3 linked regions of the Mus musculus genome follow. The main gene of each other region encodes a partner of the protein of the gene in region 3 in a complex. Links are inferred from orthologs where the notes say so. Each region holds a gene or a part of one and is shown on either strand. Other genes may lie near its edges. The genes, in order: Asph, Serpinc1 and F10.

The links.
Region 1: the proteins of F10 (region 3) and Asph are in contact, whole or in part, in a crystal structure (PDB 6Q9F), measured with the Homo sapiens proteins. The link is inferred for Mus musculus from reciprocal best matches to the Homo sapiens genes F10 and ASPH. Residues at the interface, in NP_000495.1 of Homo sapiens: Asn97, Gln98, Lys100, Cys101, Lys102, Asp103, Gly104, Leu105, Gly106, Glu107, Tyr108, Thr109, Cys110, Thr111, Leu113, Glu114, Gly115, Phe116; in NP_004309.2 of Homo sapiens: Ala389, Glu390, Arg393, Ser394, Asn395, Leu398, Gln431, Phe432, Leu433, Gly434, Met436, Arg437, Val462, Leu465, Leu466, Ile467, Gly468, His493, Phe496, Ala500, Arg526, Phe529, His530, Arg562, Ser563, Leu564, Tyr565, Asp616, Glu617, Leu619.
Region 2: the proteins of F10 (region 3) and Serpinc1 are in contact, whole or in part, in a crystal structure (PDB 2GD4), measured with the Homo sapiens proteins. The link is inferred for Mus musculus from reciprocal best matches to the Homo sapiens genes F10 and SERPINC1. Residues at the interface, in NP_000495.1 of Homo sapiens: Asn254, Glu256, Glu258, Gly259, Phe260, Cys261, His276, Cys277, Gln280, Ala281, Lys282, Thr318, Tyr319, Arg366, Lys370, Gly371, Arg372, Gln373, Phe396, Asp413, Ala414, Cys415, Gln416, Gly417, Asp418, Val437, Ser438, Trp439, Gly440, Gly442; in NP_000479.1 of Homo sapiens: Asn265, Thr266, Arg267, Glu269, Met283, Met284, Tyr285, Glu287, Tyr292, Arg294, Val349, Val420, Val421, Ile422, Ala423, Gly424, Arg425, Ser426, Leu427, Asn428, Pro429, Asn430, Arg431, Thr433.

The regions. Positions count from the first base shown.
Region 1 is NC_000070.6:9,664,762-9,672,003, reverse strand, and holds the start of Asph (aspartyl/asparaginyl beta-hydroxylase), read left to right. Parts: upstream 1-2,841; 5' UTR 2,842-3,093; coding exon 3,094-3,223; intron 3,224-7,242.
Region 2 is NC_000067.6:160,974,938-160,982,437, forward strand, and holds the start of Serpinc1 (antithrombin-III isoform 1 precursor), read left to right. Parts: upstream 1-3,645; 5' UTR 3,646-3,778; intron 3,779-5,465; exon of another isoform or gene 5,466-5,603; intron 5,604-7,500. UniProt on the Homo sapiens protein: Most important serine protease inhibitor in plasma that regulates the blood coagulation cascade. AT-III inhibits thrombin, matriptase-3/TMPRSS7, as well as factors IXa, Xa and XIa. Its inhibitory activity is greatly enhanced in the presence of heparin.
Region 3 is NC_000074.6:13,049,649-13,056,375, forward strand, and holds part of F10 (coagulation factor X isoform 2 preproprotein), read left to right. Parts: intron 1-977; coding exon 978-1,213; intron 1,214-3,707; coding exon 3,708-3,825; intron 3,826-5,644; coding exon 5,645-6,234; 3' UTR 6,235-6,727. UniProt on the Homo sapiens protein: Factor Xa is a vitamin K-dependent glycoprotein that converts prothrombin to thrombin in the presence of factor Va, calcium and phospholipid during blood clotting.

The sequences.
Region 1 (7,242 bases), on a different chromosome or scaffold from region 3:
CCAGAAGAGGGAGTCAGATCTCGTTACGGATGGTTGTGAGCCACCATGCGGTTGCTGGGATTTGAACTCTGGACCTTCAGAAGAGCAGTCGGGTGCTCTTACCCACTGAGCCATCTCACCAGCCCAAAATCTTTAACTTTTAACACAGTTGTGACTTACAGCTTTTAGGCAATATTAGAAAGAAGGAAATTGTTTCTTAGCAACCTCTAGATGTAACTTGGCTTATAACCCACATCCCATACACACCCATTGTGAAAAAAACCCCAGTTGCAGCTTTCCTTTGAGAAGTCTGTACTTGTCCTGTTGGGGGTACTTAATCTTTCTCTCTCTGCAGCATCATTTTTTCTAATAAGCCCCCTGCTTAAGATCTATATTAAAGCCTACTTTTAATAAAATCTCCAACGTGGTTTCTTATTGGATCACCGTGAAACTCTTTTCTGTAGGGCAGCCACAAATCCTGGTTTTGCTTGAATGAAGGTTTCTTAAGGAAAGGGGAACTAACTCTTCAGATTCCTGGAAGAATGGAGTGGAGATGTGACTATGTCCTATTGCTAGCAATACCAGACTTAGTTTCTGGACTGAAGGAACAAAGCCTCACTTTTCCTTGGAGACAGCTGTTCAAAAATGTAAAATCTAACTTCCCTAAACTGTGACCTATGAAAAGTGTCCACACTCAGGCCTCAGTCTGTCTTTGCAGGGAGGGTGTAGATGATCCCAGAAGCCTCTGCTGCAGGAGAGTGGCGTCAAGTAAGATATTCTCAACTGAACGGTAGATTTTTTCTAGGAAGGATAATTTGGAAGTAATTCTGCATGCAGTCTGAGTTCACATCCCCTCTCTATCACCAACTCTGGGACATTCATTACTTTAGCATTGCTGTGACTAAAATACTCAAAGGAAATCACTTAAGAGTGGAAAGGTTTACTAAGGCTCAGAGTTCCAGAGAGACTTTAATCTGTCGTGGCCAGGGAAGGCATAACATTAGCCCCCACTGTCAGAGGCAATGTGAACCCATGGCAGCAGGAGAGCAGGGCCTGGACTAATAAAATAACCCTCAAAGGTCTGCTCCTAGTGGCCTCTTTGGGCAGCCAGGTCATACTTCCTGAGGATTCCTCAGCTCCCCAAACCAGCACCACCAACTGGGAATAAGGGTTGTCTTAGTCAGGGTTTCTATTTCTGCACAAAACCTCATGCCCAAGAAACAAGTTGGGGGTGGGGGGAGGAAGGATTTATGCAGCTTAGACTTTCACACTGCTGGTTCCTCACCAAAGGAAGTCAGGACTGGAACTCAAGCAGGTCAGAAAGCAGGAGCTGATGCAGAGGCCATGGAGGGATGTTACTTACTGGCTTGTTTCCCCTGGCTTGCTCAACTTGCTCTCTTATAGAACCAAGACTACCAGCCCAGAGATGCCACCACCCACAATGGGCTGGGCCCTTCCCTCTTGATCACTAACTGAGAAAATGCCTTACAGCTGGATCTCATGGAGGAACTTCCCCAACTGAAGCTCCTTTCTCTGTGATGACTCCAGCTTGTGCCACGTTGACACACAAAATCAGCCAGCACAAGGGATTAAAACATTTGTGGAAGCTAGTTAAGATTGAACCTTTAAAGCATCAACTCTATAATAGTGTTTTGTGAGTAATTAAAATTTTTTATCTTGGGGATGGAGAGTTATTTATCTATTGTAGTTTAGATATCAGCACCTTCCATTAAGTGATATGGATCAGATTTGCCTCTCTGCCTCCCCCCATTCCCATCATTGTTTCCTGCTGAAAGAATGTCCTTTGTGGGCAAGAAGTTGTGTTCAAAAGAGAGGACTCCTGGGTGCCGAGGAGGCTCAGAGATAAAGAAATGCAGTAAGAATGGACGGCAGCACCCACCTTCATGGCTGTGTGAAAACGATGCCCTCTTTTTCCCTGTTCTGTGAGGCTCTTGGGTTCCACTTTTTTCCCCGGGCGGTACCCAGTATTCACAGCTGACAAGGCAGAGGCCAGTGGACCCTAATGATGGTCAGTGGTGGTTGAGGAAACTGCAGTCTCAGAAGGGGTCGTCCCACAGCAGTGGCTCACTCTGGGTCTTCTACAAGGGGCTGCTTCCAAGAACTCCTGGAAGATCTCGACATTGACAGCAATGTATTAAATCACCACATACTTCATGTTTTTTTGTTACCCACAGACACCATGTGGGCAATTGGTAACAAATGATCATGGTCTCTGCTGGACCTTGGCTGGTTCATCCAGCTGTTGCCATTTTTCTTTTGAATATTCAGTTCTCAATCCCGACGCAGTACACTGCATAAGCATAGGAGATCAATGGCTGGGGACATGAAGAAATTCTAGGTATTAGTGTGATGAGAGTGTTGTGCATGGTTAAGAAAATAGGGTTTTTGAGTCATGTTAACATTTTAATGTCTTAACTAAAGGTTCTCCAAAACTACTGATGGCACAAATCCTTATTTTTGACACTGGAAGGCTCAACAATCACAGTGTACTGGCGGAACTGTGGCAAATCCTTTTCAAAGAGAGGGCTTGCACCCTTGGTCGTACTTAGGCACCGGAACCAAATTCCCAAGAAGCCAAGAGGTGGTGCGCAGCTCTCGGGCACCGCCCTCATACCCGCCCCATCCCGTTGGAGCCAGAACACCAACGCTCGCGAGAGTCCTGCCGGCTTCCACGTTTGCCACGTTCCAGAGGATCCAGGCAGACTAGAAAGCCACAAGCCGCTGGGGCTTTGCAGTCACTGCGCAGCAAAAGACAAGCTTTGGCCTGAGGAGGGCAGGCGCGCGTAGCCTGCCCCGCCCCCTGCCAGCGGTCCTCGGGATTGGCTCGTGTTGGCGTCTTTCAGATCTGGTGGGTGGGCAGAGGCTGGCGTGGGCGGGGCCGAGGCCGGGGGGAGCTGAGCGCTCTTGGCAGCCTAAGGAGTCGCAGGCTGGGCGCACGCGAGGCTAACCGCGCGGCTGCACGCTGGTGCAAGTCGTCCGAGGCGCAGCGAGCGCAGTGGACGCTAAGGCGCTGCTACAGGAGTCTCGAAGCCCCGGTGTCCCTAGTGCACTCAGCAAGGCCCCGGTTCTCTGCAGTCCCCGGAGCAGCTCGCGATGGCCCCGCGCAAGAACGCCAAGGGCGGCGGCGGCAACAGCAGCAGCAGCGGCAGCGGCAGCGGCTCGGGCAGCGGTAGCCCGAGCACGGGTAGCAGCGGTAGCAGCAGTAGCCCCGGGGCTCGGAGAGGTCAGAGTCCCCGCAGGCCAGGCCCTGGCTGCGGGCGGGAGCCGGGTGGGCGCTGCAGGTCTGGTCTGATCCTACGTCCGCCGCTCCTCTCCATCCTTAGCGAGGCTCCTGTGTGCGCGGGGCGAGGCCGCGCTCACCGGGCGGGGAGGCGGAGGAGCAGAGTCGGCCGGAGGGGGACCCCTAGCACCAGCCTGCCCGAGCATTGGCCGGCCCTTTCTTGCCTTTCCTGATGGAAGCTGGGTGTAGAGGGCCCTTTATCTTTTTGCAGTTTTCGGGGCGCTTGACCCTGAGCCAAAGTCAGAGAAAGTAAGTTTCAGCCTGGCCAGCAGCGTTGAGGAGCGGCTTGGAGGAGTGTATTCAAGGGCCGGGATGAGACTTGATGCTTCGTTCTTGCAAATTATTTTAAGGAGTTTTGTTTAGTTTTCTTAATATGTATTGCGTTTGCCTTTTAAAATACAAAGGGACATCATAAAGTACTATAGGGATTTTCTCTGTGCCTCCTTTTTCTTTTCTCAATAAAATAAAATAAAATCATAACCCCCCCCCCCCCAAAAAAAAAACCCAACCAAACAAAAAACCCAAAACCCACAAACAAAAAACCCTACTGGTTATTCACCTTTCTTCTCCATGTGCTTAGCCAGCAGAGTGGAGAACAGATGTTTTAAATCTGTTTCGTGTCAGATTTCACCGGTTCTCGGTTTCTCTTATATTTCCTTTGACTCATATTTAGAATATTGGAACTGGAACACACATGTGTATTGAATGTGAGCTCTCAATATCACTGGAAATGATTTAGATTCTATGCTTTGGTCTATGGGCAGCTCATTATTATATGTCATATATAGATTGGATGATTATGGTTTTATTAGTATATGTCAGGACGATAGATGAGCCAACTATGGTTTTTCTTCATAGCACTTGCTGTCTTCATGTATATTCTGTCTTCATGTATTGTCTTTGTTTCACTCTCTTCTATTCCCCATTATCAACTAGAATAGTTCGTTTCCTTAATAGCTGTGCAATAAATATTTGATTAGAAAATGAATGAATAAATGTAAATGGGGAAAGTTAGGCAGTTAAATCCATTGTACACATTAACATTCTGAGAGCTGTTTGTATTCTTAATGGAAAGGACTCTATGTACACAGTTTGAGGTCCAAGGCCACTGTAGTAATTAATTCACCTCAATACCGGTAAAAATGACATTCAGGCTCTCTGGCTCCTAAGTCAGCTAATCTGACATCGGCAGCGCCATTGCTTTGTGGTTGGAGCATAGATTTGAAGTATGTGAATGAGAAGAGCCTACTGAATGTTGAGGAGAAAGCTAATGAGCAAGATTTTAATGTGTTCTGTAGCGATTGCCTGGTGAAATGCGTCTGCTGCTGTCCTGGGAGCTTTGTGTGTGCTGGGGAAGTGCTTTAGCCGCTGAGCTACATCCTAGACTTTCATCTCTATCCTTTACACCCTGATTGCATCCAGGGAAGTCTCTTATGAGGCCTGCCAGTACAGAGAGTGTGCACCGTCCCCTGATAAGTACCAGTGTTACAGTCAGCTGGTAGGGCTGGGAAACCCCAGGATGTATAGTACCTTATTCTTAGGATGTATATATAGTCCCTTATTCTATCATTAGGATGTATAGTCCCTTAGTCTATCATTTGCCCACACTTTAGAGTGACATAACTATAATGAAGCACAATTTCATTCATAATGAATGAAACACCTGTGTTCTAACCCCTCCCCCCAAACTCGAGCCTAAATTACACAGAGCGCATGATTCTTCCTAGGCCATTATTTTAAATAACTATTTCAGTAACTACTGAGTTCTGATTGGGTGAAAGAGAAGGCACCCCAGGTGGAAACTAAAACTCTTCTTCCCTTTGTGCTAAACAGTTACCATTATAATGGGAAAGCGTGGTTCTGTTTATTGCTTTCTTACAGCAGGGTACACCTGAAAGATAAACAGGGTACTGAAAACAAAGTTAACTTTATGTGGTCACTGAGGTAGGGACATGGACATGCAAACCAACTCTAACTGCTGGGGAGTCCGTAGCTGCAGTTACATTGCTGTGGCATTTAGTGTCTTCTAGTTAAATAAGGTGAGAAAATTAATGCTTAAAGGTCTTGCTCAGCCTGTGAAAACCCAGGTAGGACAGAAGAGCATCAACTAAAAGCCAGGTTTTCTGTTGCTCATCATTACACTGCACTGTTTGAATTGTTGGTTCTTAAATAGAATACGTCAGATCTTATAGGGGTTGGGAGTTGAAGTAGTTTATCAAGTTTTCTTCTGGCATGTCCCAGGTAGAGTTACAGTCATTGCAGAAATTTGTGCTTTTGTTTAACTAATAAGCCTTTGATTAAAATATGGTTAAAGTAGCACGTTTAAAAATCATAGTTTGAAAAGTGCACACACTAAGTTTTTAACATTGAGAATCTGATATCAGTGGTGACATTGGTCTCATAACTCATCTCATTAGTACTAAGGTTATTATATAAAAGTATTATGGGGGATGGGAGACCTATAAAGCACATCTATAGAGAAAATATTTTAAAGCATGTGTCTGCTTTCCACTTTCTTCAGCTCAGTTGAGAAATGATAAAGTAGAATTTCATTTTAAATTTTTCAATTTGCTCCTTAGAATACAGAAGAAAGGAGTTGGACATTTTACGTTTAACATGCATCTAAAAGGTGATTTACCTAGCCGGGGTTTTGAACGCAGGTATTTCATTCATAGAGTGTGCTTCACTATTACTTGGCCAGTGAAAAGTCTTTCTCACATTTACTGATTGGGAAAGTGTTTGAGGAAGAGGGACATGGTTGTCTTTGGGTTTATGATACAGTACAGAGGGGTCTGTGCAATGTATCACCATTGTGGCCAGTGTCTTGACATACTTACCACTGGCTGCCTCTTTTGGCTGTGGCTTGCTTTTATTCTGTCACTTACCAGCAGGTGTCGCTGTAGAACATGTTTCCCCTCCCAATTTGAAGCTTCAAGTTATATAATGGCAATTAGATCTTAAAACTATTTTAATCAGTCTGTACTTACCCAGGAACTCTTATCAACTGGTGTTCAATTCTCTCAAGATATCTAATAGATCAAGAAATTTAAGAATAAGCCTTTGTGTGGAACAATCTTAAGACTTATGGAGAATGAAATATGTCCGTATACTTTTGGTAATATAAATTCACACAATCATTTGATGCATTTTGGTCATTGGGAAACACACTTCCAAATTTATTCTTCCCCAGCCTCCATAAACTTTCTGTGTCTCTTAGGTTGCTAATGGATACAGTGTGCTGCTGAGTGTGTCCTGGCTTTCTTGAAAGAAGGGGGCCCAGTCGCAGTTTTTTTCTACTTAACCAAGGGGATAAGTCAGGGCCAGTGACTTAATACTCTACCAGCCAATTAAGGATGGAAAACTAGAAAGCCCATAATTTGCTCACTACAAGAATTGTATGTGTTTGTTGTGTTGGTAGCACTGTTTTTCTAGCTTGGCCAGATCATAGGAAAACAAGTTCTATAAAATACTCGGAGGGAATTCTTTGCAACCATACCATGGGCTGGGAGATTATTCGAAAATAAATAGATAAAGTTTACATTTTCTTCTAGTTAATAGTAGTACCGTGGTTATGTGGGCTAACTTAGATATTTTGTTCATGTGCACTGATCCCAAAAGGGAACAACAAATACCATTTTTCTCATGAAAGGCAGTGCAGTTTGGAACAAGGAATCTGATAGCCCAGGCCTCTATTTGTTTTAGAAACATGTGGCAAGTCTCTCTGACATCGCTAATCTTAATCCATTTACTCTCTGTTTTGCTTCCTGGTTCCCGATAGCCTAAGACAATATGATATGCCTTGATGCATATCAAATTGTACACGTGTCCATGCTGATGGTGAGAGTGAAAAACCTGAGAGAATACAAAGTACCCATCTTGCTTGACAAGCTGCACTACTGTTACTCTGTAACATGTTTGTTTCAAATATAGGATTCCTTTTGCAGTAGACTCTATTGTAACTT
Region 2 (7,500 bases), on a different chromosome or scaffold from region 3:
CTGTCAGCATTTATATTAAATGATAAATTAATGAGGAGGAACAGTGTGTAGTCTTTTTCTTGTCAATGAGTCTGCCACCTCGTTCTCGTCTTGGGATTGTTGATAAAAAAAAAAAAACAAAAAACAAAAAACTTTTAAAAGCTAATTTATGCAAGTAAGCACACTGGGCGTCAGTTTTCTCTACCCAGAATTGCTGTAGACTTGAGTATGCTGCAATTGAGAGGCAGGCCTGGTTCAGAGGCTGCGAGACCCATAGTCAGTGAGCTGTAACATTATTTTATGACGTCTTATCAAGCCAAGAGCATCTTTCTGCCCAAGCAAAATGATCTTCCTTCCTCAAACAGAATACTTGTCTTTTTATTTACCAACTGGCTCCCAATTATTCTGAAGTCTTTTAAATATAATATAAAGTCATTAAATATAATCTAAAGTAACTTTATATTATCTCTTATAGACCATGCTCTAGTTAACATGAAGGGAGGTGATGGCTGAGTAGTTGAAAGTGTTGTTTTCTTTTGCAGGGGCCCAGAGTTTAGTTCCTAGCACTCCCATCAGGCAGCTCAGGACTACCTGTAACTCTAAATCCACGGATCCAACCACTGCTTTCTGTCCTCAGGTACATAGACACACTTAAGGTCTTAAAGGGGGAGGTGAGTTATTACACATTACAAGACATGAAGTAAACTCAAATGTAGCATGTTGTAACAGTAACATACTTTTATGTAATTAAGAATGTTTGGGGCCAGGCAGTGGTGGCGCACATCTTTAATCCCAGCACTTGGGAGGCACAGGCTGGCGGATTTCTGAGTTCGAGGCCAGCCTGGACTACAGAGTGAGTTCCAGGACAGCAAGGGCTACACAGAGAAACCCTGTCTCGAAAAACCAAGAAAAAAAAAAAAAGATTGTTTGACTACATGTTGAATATTAAATGGTAAGACGGAGGGGATGTTCAATTCACAGTTCATATATATAGGTCTGTATCCTATATACATGCTGTGCCTGTAGAGGCCAAAAAAAAAAAAAAAAAAGACATTAGGTTTCCTGAAGTTAGAGTTACAGACAGTAACTAGGGCTAGAACCAGGATCCTCTGGAAGAACAGCATAAGCTCTTAACTGCTGAGCCATCTTTCCAGCCCCATATTTTTAAGAGATAGATATATTAATCATAGTTGGAATTTATTCTAAAATACTTTCCAATGAAAATTGATAGGGATTTCCAGAAAAGGGTTATAACATTACCAATTACTAAATACGGGGACCACTGGTACCATGACTGGCCACAACAGAAGGAGCCATGGTAAGGGAGCTCAGAAGGTATTAGATAGTTAAGTGCTTGTAGCCATCCTTGAAAAATGATGACATCTAAAAAGGAAATTCCAAAACCAAGCCTGTCTGCCACTTAACCTAAGCTTGTCCTGCTTAGGATATAAGCAGGAACTATCTGACCTGTTAGGCTGACATGCTCAGACTAAAGTGAATGTGTTATATGTGCATCAATGTTTTGTCCCAGTGATCAGCGAATCTGAAATGATCAGCTAGTTAAATCATGCTTTCCAGCCAGTCGTGGTGGCGAACACCTTTAAACCCAGCACTCGGGAGGCAGAGGCAGGTGGATTTCTGAGTTCGAGGCCAGCCTGGTCTACAAAGTGAGTGCCAGGACTGCCAGGGCTTCACAGAGAAACCCTGTCTCGGAAAACAAAACAAAACAAAACAAACAAACAAAAAAAATCATGCTTTCCAACCTGTTTGGCTATTAAGAGAAAAAATACCTACCTCCTTTTTTTTTTTTTTTTTTTTTTTTTTTTGTTTGAGCACCTAACCTTAAGAAAGGATAGATGGAAGAGTGGGAGGAAAAGTTGTAGGAGCCAGAGGGGTCAAGGACAGCACAGAAATCTGATAGAATCTATTAACCTAAGCTCAGAGGGCCTCACAGAGACTGAACCACGAGGCATGCAAGGAACTGACTCTCTCCACATCTGTAACAGTTGTGTAGCTTGCTTTTTCATGTGGGACTCCTAACAGCAGGAGCAGCAGCTGTCTCTGACTCTTGCAGCCTACCTTTGGGACTCTTTTTTTTTCCCCTTACTGAGCTGCCTCAATAGAAGATGCACCTAGTTTTACAGCAACATGATCTGCCAAAGCTGGTTGATATCCGTGGGAGGCCTCCCCTTTTCTGAAGAGAAGTGGGGTGGGGTGACTGGGTGGGAGGAAGGGAAAACTGGTCAGTATGTAAGTAAATCAAAAAATAAAACATTGGGAAGAAAGTGGTTAGGCATGATGTCCTACCTTAATCCCAGTTCTTAGCGGCAGAGGCAGATGGACCTCTGAGCTCAAGGTCAAGGCTGATCTACATAGCAAGTTTCAGGACAGTCCTGTCTCACCTACATACACGCCCACACTCCAAAAAAGTAGTCAGGCAGGAGATGGTGGCGGCCCATAAATGAAGTACCCTGGTGAACAAGAGTTGGAAGCCACTTATATTACATAGTAAATTCCAGGCCAGGCTGGGCTGCACCATATCCCAAAACAAAAAGTGAATTTATCAACTACTAAACGTCCATATGCTTAACAAAATAGAAGACAAAAGTACTTTCTGCCATCAATGAGCTCTAATTGTGGAACTTTGCACAGGCTTTTTAGATACCTTAATCTTGATGGCTATGGTAGTACAGCTTCATTCCCAGAGGTTAGGAGACAGTGGCAGGCAAGTCTCAAGGCCAGCCTGATGTGAAGAGTTCAGTGCCAGGCTAGTCAGGGGTGCATAGTGAGCCTTTGACTCAATAAGATGATGACAACATTAATTATCAACGAATTGTCATCTTCAGAACAAGAAGCTGTGAGACTGGACAAGACAACTTCATTGTACAAGGCCCTAAGTTTGATCTCTAGCACCATCCCCAAAGAAAACTCTGTGTGTGTGTGTGTGTGTGTGTGTGTGTGTGTGTATTTAACTTTGTTTGGCTGGTGAAGATCTCCCAAGGAAACCACAGTGAAGGTAAGACATGAGCGAGTTGAAGTATGGAGAGGGGACTAGGATGTTAGAGAGTCCTAAGCTGTCCTAGTAAGGGAAGATAGGGTATATGAATTCTGAGGGAAGGGACTGAGTTGAAATGGGGATCTTCATTACAACTACTATAGACAGGCAGCTGAAGAGGTGTTGCTTGTAGCTTTTACTACCCCACCAAAGCTCCAGGAACAGGCCATGCTACCAGCCCCCACCCAGCTTCCCTTGAATCCAAGGATAAAAGAGGAGGTAGGATCAGATGGCAAGGGCTGTAGACCATGCCAAAGTGTGGTGGCACTACTCTCTAGTTCCAGGTTAGATCAAGTTCAAGGCCAGCCAGCTTGAGCTACACTGGCAAGTTCAAGGCCCTGAGTTACATGAGACCTGTCTCAAAACTAAAAATAAAATGGCCTTGTCCTGATGGTAAAGAAAATATAAGCAGAAGGTAGTATGCAAGGAAATACAAAATCTAGATTTGTGCCTCTTTATTCACAATTATTGAAAAAATTATGCATGCCTCTCCCATGTGCATGGTGTTCACTGGGGCCCTTGGTAAGGTGCAGTCTGTTTCAGCGGGTCTGGGGTGGGGCTTGGAGGCACATGATCACAGATGATACTCGTGTTCAGTGTGGCCAAAGAGCACACTTGCGTAAGACTCGCCATAATAGGTAATTTTAGAAATAGATCTGATTTGTATCTGAGACATTTTAGTGAAGTGGTGAGATATAAGACATAATCAGAAGACATATCTACCTGAAGACTTTAAGGGGAGAGGTGAGTAGGGTGATTCTTAGCTGGGTTCACATCGGAAGAAGCAGGTGCCTTAAATGGAAGTCAGGGTTCCTGTGCAGCGTGAGCAGCTACAAAACGAATGAGTCTCAATGAGGCCTGAAGGAGTTTAGGTTGTTGTTTGTTTTGGGTCTTGTTTTTTTTTTTTTTCTATTTGAAGATTTATTGTATGTATGTGCACCATATGTGTGCCTGGTGTCTGTAGAAGTCAGTATTGAATCCCCTGGAACTGGAGTTCCGCATGGTTGTAGCCCACCATGTAGGTGCTGGGAATCAATCCTGGATTCCCTGCAAGAAAAATGGACCTAGCTGCTGAGCAGCTTTATACTTCTCAGTTAAATACCAATACCAATACAGATGTGAAGCTGGACATTGGCATGCTGAATCTGTTTAAAGTGAGGCTAGGTTCCCAATTGCAATCGGCTTACACGAAATTAGGGCCTGAACCAGCCCAGTGGTTGAAGTAGGAGAGGAGTTGGGCAATAGGCTGGTTCTGTGTGGTGACTTGAAGACAGATGACAGAACTCCTTAGTCCCCTTGACCAAACAGTAGATCTGTTTGGACATCCTTTTCATGGCATCAAAGCCCTTGGGAATAGTTGAAAGGAAAACCTATAGTGATTTTAGTCTGTCATACATACTCCTAACCTCCCAAGCCCAGTTAGGACCTAAAGGTGCTCTCTTGTACCTCTTTGTCTCTGTGTCATATGTCTAAACTAAACCTTTTACTCCCTGGATAGTTAGGGTACACCTAGACTCAAAGCATGGCATGCCTGTTTCCCCATGGCAGAAGGGCCTCTTGTAGTTTGGGGTATTATACTTTAATCTGTATTAGGCTTTTTTGTTTGTTTTTGTTTTTGTTTTGAGACAGGGTTTCTCTGTGTAGCCCTGGCTGTCCAGGAACTCACTCTGTAGACCAGGCTGGCCTCAAACTCAGAAATCCACCTGCCTCTGCCTCCCAAGTGTTGGGATTAAAGGTGTGCCGGTGGTGCTCGGTGGCTTTTGTTTTTTGTTGTTTTGTTTTTGTTTTGTTGTTGTGGGTTTTGTTTGTTTTTGCATACACATGTCATGTCTGAAGCACATGCATGCAGTACCCAGTGATGCTAGGAAAAAGCACCATCTCTTCTGGAAGTGAAGTTAGAGAGGGGAGCTGCTATGTGGGTGCTGGGAATTGAACCTGGGTACTCTGGAAGAGTTGTCAGTGGTCCTGCTGACATCTCTACTGCTGAGCCATTTCTGGCCTGGGCTTCAGCTCCTTAACTAGTTCTGATGGTTACCATGATACAGTCATTCCCATACCCTCATGCCCTCCTTGTCCCTTAAATGAACTTATAAGGGTTTTCTAAAGCAAGGCTTGGAAGATGTGTGAAAGGCGAGGTAGTCTATAACTCAGCTGCTGTCATCACAGCACACACCTTCGTCCTAGCTTTAGCCACGTTTCTTCCTGCTGCTTCGAGGTCAAACTATGTCATCCCCGTGTCACTGGGAATTCTGCCACTCTCCCTGACTTTGCACTCTGCTTTTCTTCTGTGGTTTTCTCTTATCTCCTACAACTTCTGAGCTAATGTACATGCAATGAGCTTTTTCCCCAAGTTGCTCTTGACTACCTCCCAGCCTTGATTAATATTTATTTGTTTGTTTGTTTGTTTGTTTGTTGTTATTTATTTATTTATTTATGTGCCCTAGGCATGAAACAGCTTTGGCCATCAAACCAGGCATTAATCTAGGATGAATAACTGCCATCCACTCTGCCCCTGACTGATATAAGAACACCACTGCCATAGGTGTCTCTTTGCCCATTGCCCGGGGGGTATTTCTGTCCTCAAGAATCAGTAATGCCTATTTTTTAAAAAGTCTTAATAATCTCTCCATTAAGGAAGTATCAACTGCTAAATCAGAAAAAAAAAATCTGTACCTCTTCAAACATAAATGTTTATTGAGTCCTATCTCATTCAGAGCCCACAGCTGTGTGCACTGAGCATGTTCAATAAATATTTGCTCTTGTGGTTTGATTTCACTGAAACCCAAACTGAACTTTCTAGCTGTACCGAGGACCGGGGCAAATTCCAGTAAGATGCTTCAAGACCCTGGGAAAAGCAGCCAACATGATAATGCCGGGCTTGCTCTTGATAAGCTTCATCCCACCTTAATTACCACCCGAAGATGCTGTTATTACCCTAAGGTCCTTCTTCTTCGACAATCCAGAGGAGCTAGGCATGCCCTTGCTTTGAGGCTCTGTGTTTTGCCAAAGCTCTATGGAAGGGAGTTACTCAGTAACCATAGGAGGGTCTGAGCTACCAAAGACAAGAACACCACAGCCTAGGGCATGAGGGCAGCAGGCAAAGGCCAGTTAATGACCTGCTCACGGTGATTTATGTAGACTGGAGGCTGCTGTAGAAAGGAATTAATGACCTGAAGGAGGTCCCAAAAATTAGAGGGGAAGTAAACGTTAATATTCTTTCAATGTCACTGGAAGACCCGATGTATGCTTTCCAATCTTGTTTCCACTCAGAATGGAGAGAAACGGTTCTACAGATAAGTAGGGGAATTCTCCCCCAAATTTTTACCTGACACGAGTATATCAGAAGGCAGGAAGATGATTCAGTGGGTCAGAGTGGCAACCTGAATTCATTCCTGGAACCTCATGAAAAGACAATTGCAGTGGTACCCATCTGAAATGCCACAACTCCAGTAGTGAGATGAGGAGCAGAGCTAGAGTTGCCCAGAGGCTCCAGGGCCAGCTAGCCCAGATTGTACTGCACAGTGAAACCATCAAAGGTGAAGGGGAGAACCAACTCTGTAAAAGTTGCCCTCGGGTCGTACACGTGCTGTGGTATGTACACAGCTGCACACATCACTCACACACACACACACACACACACACACACACACAGAGAATGTTTTTAAAGTTTCATTTTTAGTGCTGATTAGTCAACCCCTGTGTCTTACTTACTCTTAGAGAGCACGCACTCCACCTCTGAACTACATCCCTGGCTCCCCATAAATAGTTTGCCTCCAGTTCTGGATATAACTAAAGTCTCAAAAGAAAATTAGAGCACTTTTCTTTTTTAAAGATTATTTATTATATGTAAGTACACTGTAGCTGTTCTCAGACACCCCAGAAGAGGGCATCAGATCTCATTACGGATGGTTGTGAGCCACCATGTGGTTGCTGGGATTTGAACTCAGGACCTTCGGAAGAGCAGTTAGTACTCTTAACCGCTGAGCCATCTCTCCAGCCCTAGAACACTTTTCTTATATCTTATAAAACTAATTAAATATTTCATGGAGTATGCAAAGGGGAGTACAGTCACAAATCAGTTTGCCTGGAAATAGTCTTTTTTTTTTTTTTTCTTTCCTTTCTCAACACAATCTAAGATGAACCAAAAGAGAAGATATTTGGGATCATCCAAGCCAGTGAAAGCCAAGGGGAGCTGTATGTGTGAGAAGCTGAGGCCAGGCTGGTAGTGAGGACTCTAAGGAGGCCTGCTGCAGTACACAGTGATGGGGAAAACAGCCAGGGGCAATGCAGCTCAGCACAGCAGGACTGTCTTTTGACCATGTTGTCTTTCTGATGGCAATGTTGGATATCGTAGAATAAGACAGGTGTTTGCTTCTTGGCCAAGAATCACAGGTGCTTTTTTTTTCAGTAATGGAATCCCCATAGCATATCCCAAAAATGATGGGTTCCACAGCTGAGAGTCAGGA
Region 3 (6,727 bases):
CTGAAAACATAGGTATATTCAATAGTAGAGAGTTTGTCTGGCATACTTTGAAAGTTTGTAACTACGTATTTCAGCCCAGGGATAAGAGTCTCTAGTTTCTTTTCACTAGCTAAGGTCACAATCACAACTCTTGGGAAGCAAAGGCCACATTGTAACTACTTGACCTCAAACCATGACTGGCAACAGAATAGCCACTGTGCCCAGCCTCTGGCTACAGGACCCTTCTCTTGCTGTTGGTTTCTGCTCTTGGTTTTCTTGCAAAGGTAAAGGCTTTCAAGTTTTCTAACTCTGTTTTTTATTTCTGGCTCTCACTGTAAACTTCATTTAAAATATCCAGCAATAACCATGCCACAGCCTGAATGCTGAGTAGCCAAGAAATTTCTTCTGCCAATTTAATTTGCCTATCAGCTTTAAAATATTGATTCTACAGTTTCAGGGCATGGGCAAAATGTGAACAAGGTCTTTATAGCCAATGGCCTCTAATCTGATTCCCAACAGAGCTTCTGATCCCTTTTAAGAGTTCATGATCATAATATTCGCTACCCACAATTGTTTCAGCATTCTGGTCTTGTGATACCCTGATGGAACCACCCACTCAGCTCTGAACAACAGAATTCTAAGTTTACTCCAGCTCACATCTCTAAATGCTTTTAAATTCTTCCTACCAACTAGCCCCGAGCCTTTCGAACCACATGACCAAGTAGCCATAGCAGCAACCCCACTCTTGGTACCAATTATTTATATTCATCAGAATTTCAGCACTGCAACAAAATGTCTGACAAAATTTAAAGGATGAAGGAGTTTTTTAGCATTTGTTTATTTCTTTATTTATTTATTTATTTATTTATTTATTTATTCATTTTAGCTGTGTTTTACTGATATCTCATTTGACTCTTAGGCTTAACCATTCCACCCCGGCCAGGAAGCCTCATGAGGCTTCTGGCTTTGCTGAGGCCTCTGTGGTCCTATTCTTTTAGCTCCCTTCCCCTGTGGAAAAATCACTACAGGACGTAGGAAGAGGTCTGTGGCCCTAAACACCAGCGACAGTGAGCTTGACCTTGAAGACGCCCTGCTTGATGAGGATTTCCTGTCCCCTACGGAGAATCCTATTGAACTGCTCAACCTCAACGAGACACAGCCTGAGAGGAGCAGCGATGACCTTGTTCGGATTGTGGGTGGCCGGGAATGCAAGGATGGAGAATGTCCCTGGCAGGTAACTGGCCTAAGCTAGTCTTGGCTGCAAGTAGAAACCCTCTCAGGGTCAGCAAAGACCAATGGGACAACCCTTTTCGGGTCACTAAAGGCCAGTGGGACAACCCTCTCTGGGTCACCAAAGGCCAGTGGGATAACCCTCTCAGGGTCACTAAAGGCCAGTGGGACAACCCTCTCTGGGTCAGTGACTCAGACCTGCATGGGTCCTTCTCAGTGGCCATCATTCCATTTGTAGTTTGAGAAAAAAAAATTTAAACAAAAACATCTAAATGCTAACAGGGGTAAAATATGTTAAAGAAAGATACATTCTATTTACATTCAAAATGGTTTTTTTTTAACTACTTTGGTTATTGATGTGATCTAGGGTTGCCAGACTTAGGGGGGCAAAAAAGCCCCTTGGTGAGACTGGAGTCCCGCTGTAGGAGAGTGTTCAACTGCTATTTCTGATCCCAGCTTGGTTTCTGGTCCAGTGCTCTGAATCTCTTCTGTCATCTCAGCTAGCCCTTGAGATTTGCAATGTCCAAAACCTAAATGCCTCTCCTAGAAGCAAAAAACCTAGAACAGCCGGTTCTCAACCTGTGGCTCACAAGCCCTTTGGGAGTTGCATGTCAGATATTTACCTCAAAATTCATAACAGTAGCAAAGTCACAGTTGTGAAGTCATAACAAAATAACATTATGGTTGGGGGTCACCATAACATGAAGAATTTGTTAAAGGAAAGGTTGAGAACTACTGGTCTAGAGCCACCAGCAATGCCCAGACATCATGTCAACACCCTCCACCTGCAGGGTGCAGGGCAGATGTTGTTGACCAGAGGCAGGAATTCCAGCCTACATGCAACCCTCTTCAGACACACGTACTGAGAACTCACTGAGCTGGACCTAAAGTGGCTACTACGTGTAGACTATGAGATCTCATCTTCAGGGAGGCTGGGGAATACTCACCAAGGCCCCTGATGAAGTCTGAGTAAGAGAAACCTGCTCCTGGTCCAAGATTGGCTCCTCCTTAGGGGAAAGCATATGTTGTTGGGTCTTAGCTGGCTTCCTTTCCCTTGTCACTAAAGCAAAGTTTGAGTTTGTATAGTTATCAAAGGTAAATAGGGGTTGGAAGATGGCTCAGTGGTTAAGAGTGCATACGCCTTTCCCAGAGGACCAGAGTTCAATTCCTGGCACCTAGATTAGACAGCTCACAATCTCCTGTAACTCCAACTCCAGGAGAGCTGGCATCTTTGGCCTTCACAGCTACCTCCACTAACCTGTGCATATTCATGCACATAAACATAATTTTAAAACATCTTTAATATAAGAAGAGGAAAAACAAAATCAATAAAAGACAAACTCATTGACTTTTTAGCAATGGGTAACCTCAAGAATTCCTCTGGATTCAACACTAGAGAGTGCTTTTTTTTTTTTTTTTTTTTTTTTTTAGATAGGGTCTCAGTGTGTGGGCCTGGCTGGTCTTGAGCTCATAAGAAATCTACCTGCCTCTGTCTCCCTAATCCTGGGATTAAAGGTGAATGCCATGTGCATCCTGCTCGCTGACTCCCACCAGAGGGTAGGGAATTCACTAAAGAAAGGCAGCCCAGCCAACACTTGGTGTCCAGCACTGCAGGCTAGAGCTCTAGGATGGGCATGGTTCCTCTCCTGGACATCAACTCTTGCTTCTGCATAGCTTCTCAAGAGCAGTCACGGGTACCCTGACTAGATCATCCCAGACAGTGGCACTTAATGAGCAGGAGGGCAGGTCTGTAGGCTGCGGGATCTGGGCTATGGAAAGTAAAGTGTTTCTTCAGAGCAGGGCTGGCTGGTCTGGGTCATGAGTCACAGCCATGTAAACCTTAAGGTTCTTACTACAGAGGAATGTCTTCTGTGGGTAACAGGCGAAAGTGCTAGGACTGATTGGGAAGAGAAAAAAGAGGAGGCCCGTTACAGGGACCTTGTCACCTGGGTGGGAAGGAGACAGGCAAAGATGTCCTCCAGGGTGGTTCTTGGTCTAGGTCAGACCCTCAGCAAATATCTGTGAACTATCTGTTGGTCAATCTTTACAGCAGACCAAACCTACCCTGAGGAAACAAGGCTGGATATGCCCAGGGATTAGGCACAAGGTGGCTGTTGGAGAATATGCTGAGGGTCATGCAGGAAAGGTCTGGGCCGCTAGAGTGAACGCCACAGGAGATGCAGGGTCAGAAGGAGTTGTAGGACTGGCTAGTGGAGGTAGAGCAGAGCCTGGCTGTGGGGTGCTGGACTACATGGAGGTCTCTGCTGGTGTCTGGAACTGAGAGAAAGCTACCATATGTTCTCTGGGCAGCCAACAGGCAGGAGAGCTGGGTCTCTGGGTAGGCTAGTGGATGGAGAAAGCAGGGGTCAGAGAAACAGGTGTAAAACTCCTAGAAAAGGTTATTTGAGAGTCCCTGGAGAGCCCAAATAGCCTACTCAGTGTGGCATGGCCTCACGCAGGCTATAGGTGGTTTGAAGACAATTCTGTTCTGGTCACAGGCTCTGCTCATTAACGAAGACAATGAAGGGTTCTGTGGGGGCACCATCTTGAATGAGTTCTACATCCTCACTGCTGCCCACTGTCTCCATCAGGCCAGGCGATTCAAGGTGAGGGTAGGTAAGTGACATTCCAGCCCTGGGGACCCCGCCATCTCAAGTCCTAAAAGCACTGTCGTTGCTCTCCCAGGATCTCTAGACACATGGGATCTGTTAGCAACAGTTGCCCAAATGCCGAGGAGAACTCGGAGGGCAGGCATCTAACGGCTTCCCCAGCCCAGGCCATTCCAGCAAGAGACTTCTCTCTTCAGAGTTTCTAGTGTGTCTTTTATTACACTCCTCTTACTGTCCAATCCTCAGAAGCCTTTCCAACCTTCCTCTCTCTACAACACTCTCAGGGCCTCTTCCTTTCACTGTGTGTCATTTAGTGCATTTCCATGTTTCCACAAGACCCAGGAGCTGTCTAGTAACAATCCAGCCACAAACTGCCTCAGGTGCAGTTTGAGACATCTGACATTTCTCTGCTACAAACGTAACAAGTACAGATTGTTGCGGGTGTCTCAGCATTTCTCCTTTCCAGCTGTGTCCCCGAGGCCTTGACTTTCCATCCCTAGAGGGATAAACTTCCACTGTGAGTGAGATGTTACCACATTGCCTTCCACAGTCAGCAGGAGGTTCTTTCACCTTAACTCAGACTGGGTGGGTCCAAGGGCACCGGCACCGGTGAGGGTGGATGCACCACCCAGGTCTGGAATAGGAGACCCTCTGTCCTGAGCAAATCCACAGACCCAGCTTCCAGGAACTACACAGGGACCATCTACCAAAGCATGGGGAATTGGAAAGAACTGGAGTCCTAAGCCTGAACACGGAAATCTGATCGGGAGCTGTCTTAGTGCTGATAGTATTCAATTCTCTTGTACGGAACCTCAGTTCAGTTCCTAGAACCCATATGGTGGCTCCCAACTGTCTGTGACTCAAGTTCAAGGAGATCTGATGCCATTTTCTGGCCTCCACAGGCACTAGGCATGCCCACAGTGCACATACGTACATATGCAGGCAAACACTCAGACACATAAAATGAAATAAACCTTTATTTTAAAAAGACTTTTTAAAAATATGATAAGAAGGTGAACTGGAAGAAAGACAGAGCACCTTTTAAGTACCTTTATTTTTAATTTTTGAGTTGGGCTACTCTACAGAGAACTGGCTGATCTTGAATTTACAAAGAACCTGCCCGGTCCTTCTGACTGCTAGGAACACAAGCACACAGTCCTTGGCTTGGGTCTGGTTTCCTATGAGGAAAAAAAAACTTATTTGTGGAGATGGTTTGTTCAGCTTACACTTCAACATCACAGGTCACCATCAAAGGAAGTCAGTGAGGAACCTGGAGGCAGGAGCTGATGTAGAGGCTGTGGAGGGTGCTGCTTACTGGCTTGCATAACATGGCTTACTCCGCCTGCTTTCTTATAGAACCCAGGACCACCAGCTAAAGGATGGCACCACCCATAAAGGGCTGGGCGGTGCCTCATCAATCACTAATTAAGAAAGTGCCTATAGGCTTGCCTGCAACCCGATCTTATAAGGGACATTTTCTCAATTGAGGTTCTTGCCTCTCAGATGACTAGCTTGTGTCAAATTGACAATAAGACCAGGCAGCACATTGCTTGCCTCCCTCCCTTCCTCTCTTCTTCCCTCCCTCCTCCCTCCCTTCCTTCCCCTCCTTCCTTCCTTTCTTGTTGAGACAGGATCTAGTTTATGTAGTGTGGATAGCCTGGGACTTATCATATAGATAGATGATGCTGGCCTCAAACTCATAGATCTACCCGCCTCTAATCCTTCTGTGATGGGACTAAAGGTGTGCTTCTTTAAACACAGCAGATCACAAACACGTGGCCCTCTGGGAACTCAGCCCTATCCTCTCTCTCTTTCTCTGGCCCCAGGTGATCGGAACACAGAGAAGGAAGAAGGCAACGAGATGGTGCACGAGGTGGACGTGGTCATTAAGCACAACAAGTTTCAGAGGGACACCTACGACTATGATATCGCCGTGCTGAGGCTGAAGACTCCCATCACGTTCCGGATGAACGTGGCCCCTGCCTGCCTGCCTCAGAAAGACTGGGCCGAGTCCACACTGATGACACAGAAGACGGGCATCGTGAGCGGGTTTGGACGCACGCATGAGAAGGGCCGCCAGTCGAACATCCTGAAGATGCTGGAGGTACCCTACGTGGATCGCAACACCTGCAAGCTCTCCACCAGCTTCAGCATCACACAGAATATGTTCTGTGCGGGCTATGAGGCCAAGTTAGAGGATGCCTGCCAGGGGGACAGTGGTGGCCCCCATGTCACACGGTTCAAAAATACCTACTATGTGACCGGCATTGTCAGCTGGGGAGAGGGGTGTGCAAGGAAAGGGAAATATGGCATCTACACAAAGGTCACGACCTTCCTCAAGTGGATTGACAGGTCCATGAAAGCCAGGGTGGGACCCACAGCCGAGACCCCAAGGACAGCAGGTCCGCCCAATTAAAGCAGTCCTTCTCCAGTCCTGCTGGGTCACATCTGGTGTTGTTTAATGTTGCCACCTTAAACAGGAATGTTCTTGGGGCAGCTGCCCCACCTGTGGTGGGGTCTTTTCCCTCAGTCTTATTTCCCTTGACTTCATGGTATACGAAACGGGCTGCAGCCGGGCAGTGGTGGCACACACCTTTAATCTCAGCACTCAGGAGGCAGAGACAGGCAGATTTCTGAATTTGAGGCCAGACTGGTCTACAGAGTGAGTTCCAGGACAGCCAGGGCTACACAGAGAAACCCTGTCTCAAAAAATGAATGAACGAACAAACGAACGAACAAACAAATGAACGAAAGAAAGAAAGAAAGAAAGAAAGAAAGAAAGAAAGAAAGGAAGGAAGGAAGGAAGGAAGGAAGGAAGAAAGAAAGAAAGAAAGAAGCTGCAAGTGAGCAAAGGTCTCTCTTCCTGAACCAGACTAGAAGACACTCAGGGAGTCGCTGGCTCTAGGGGG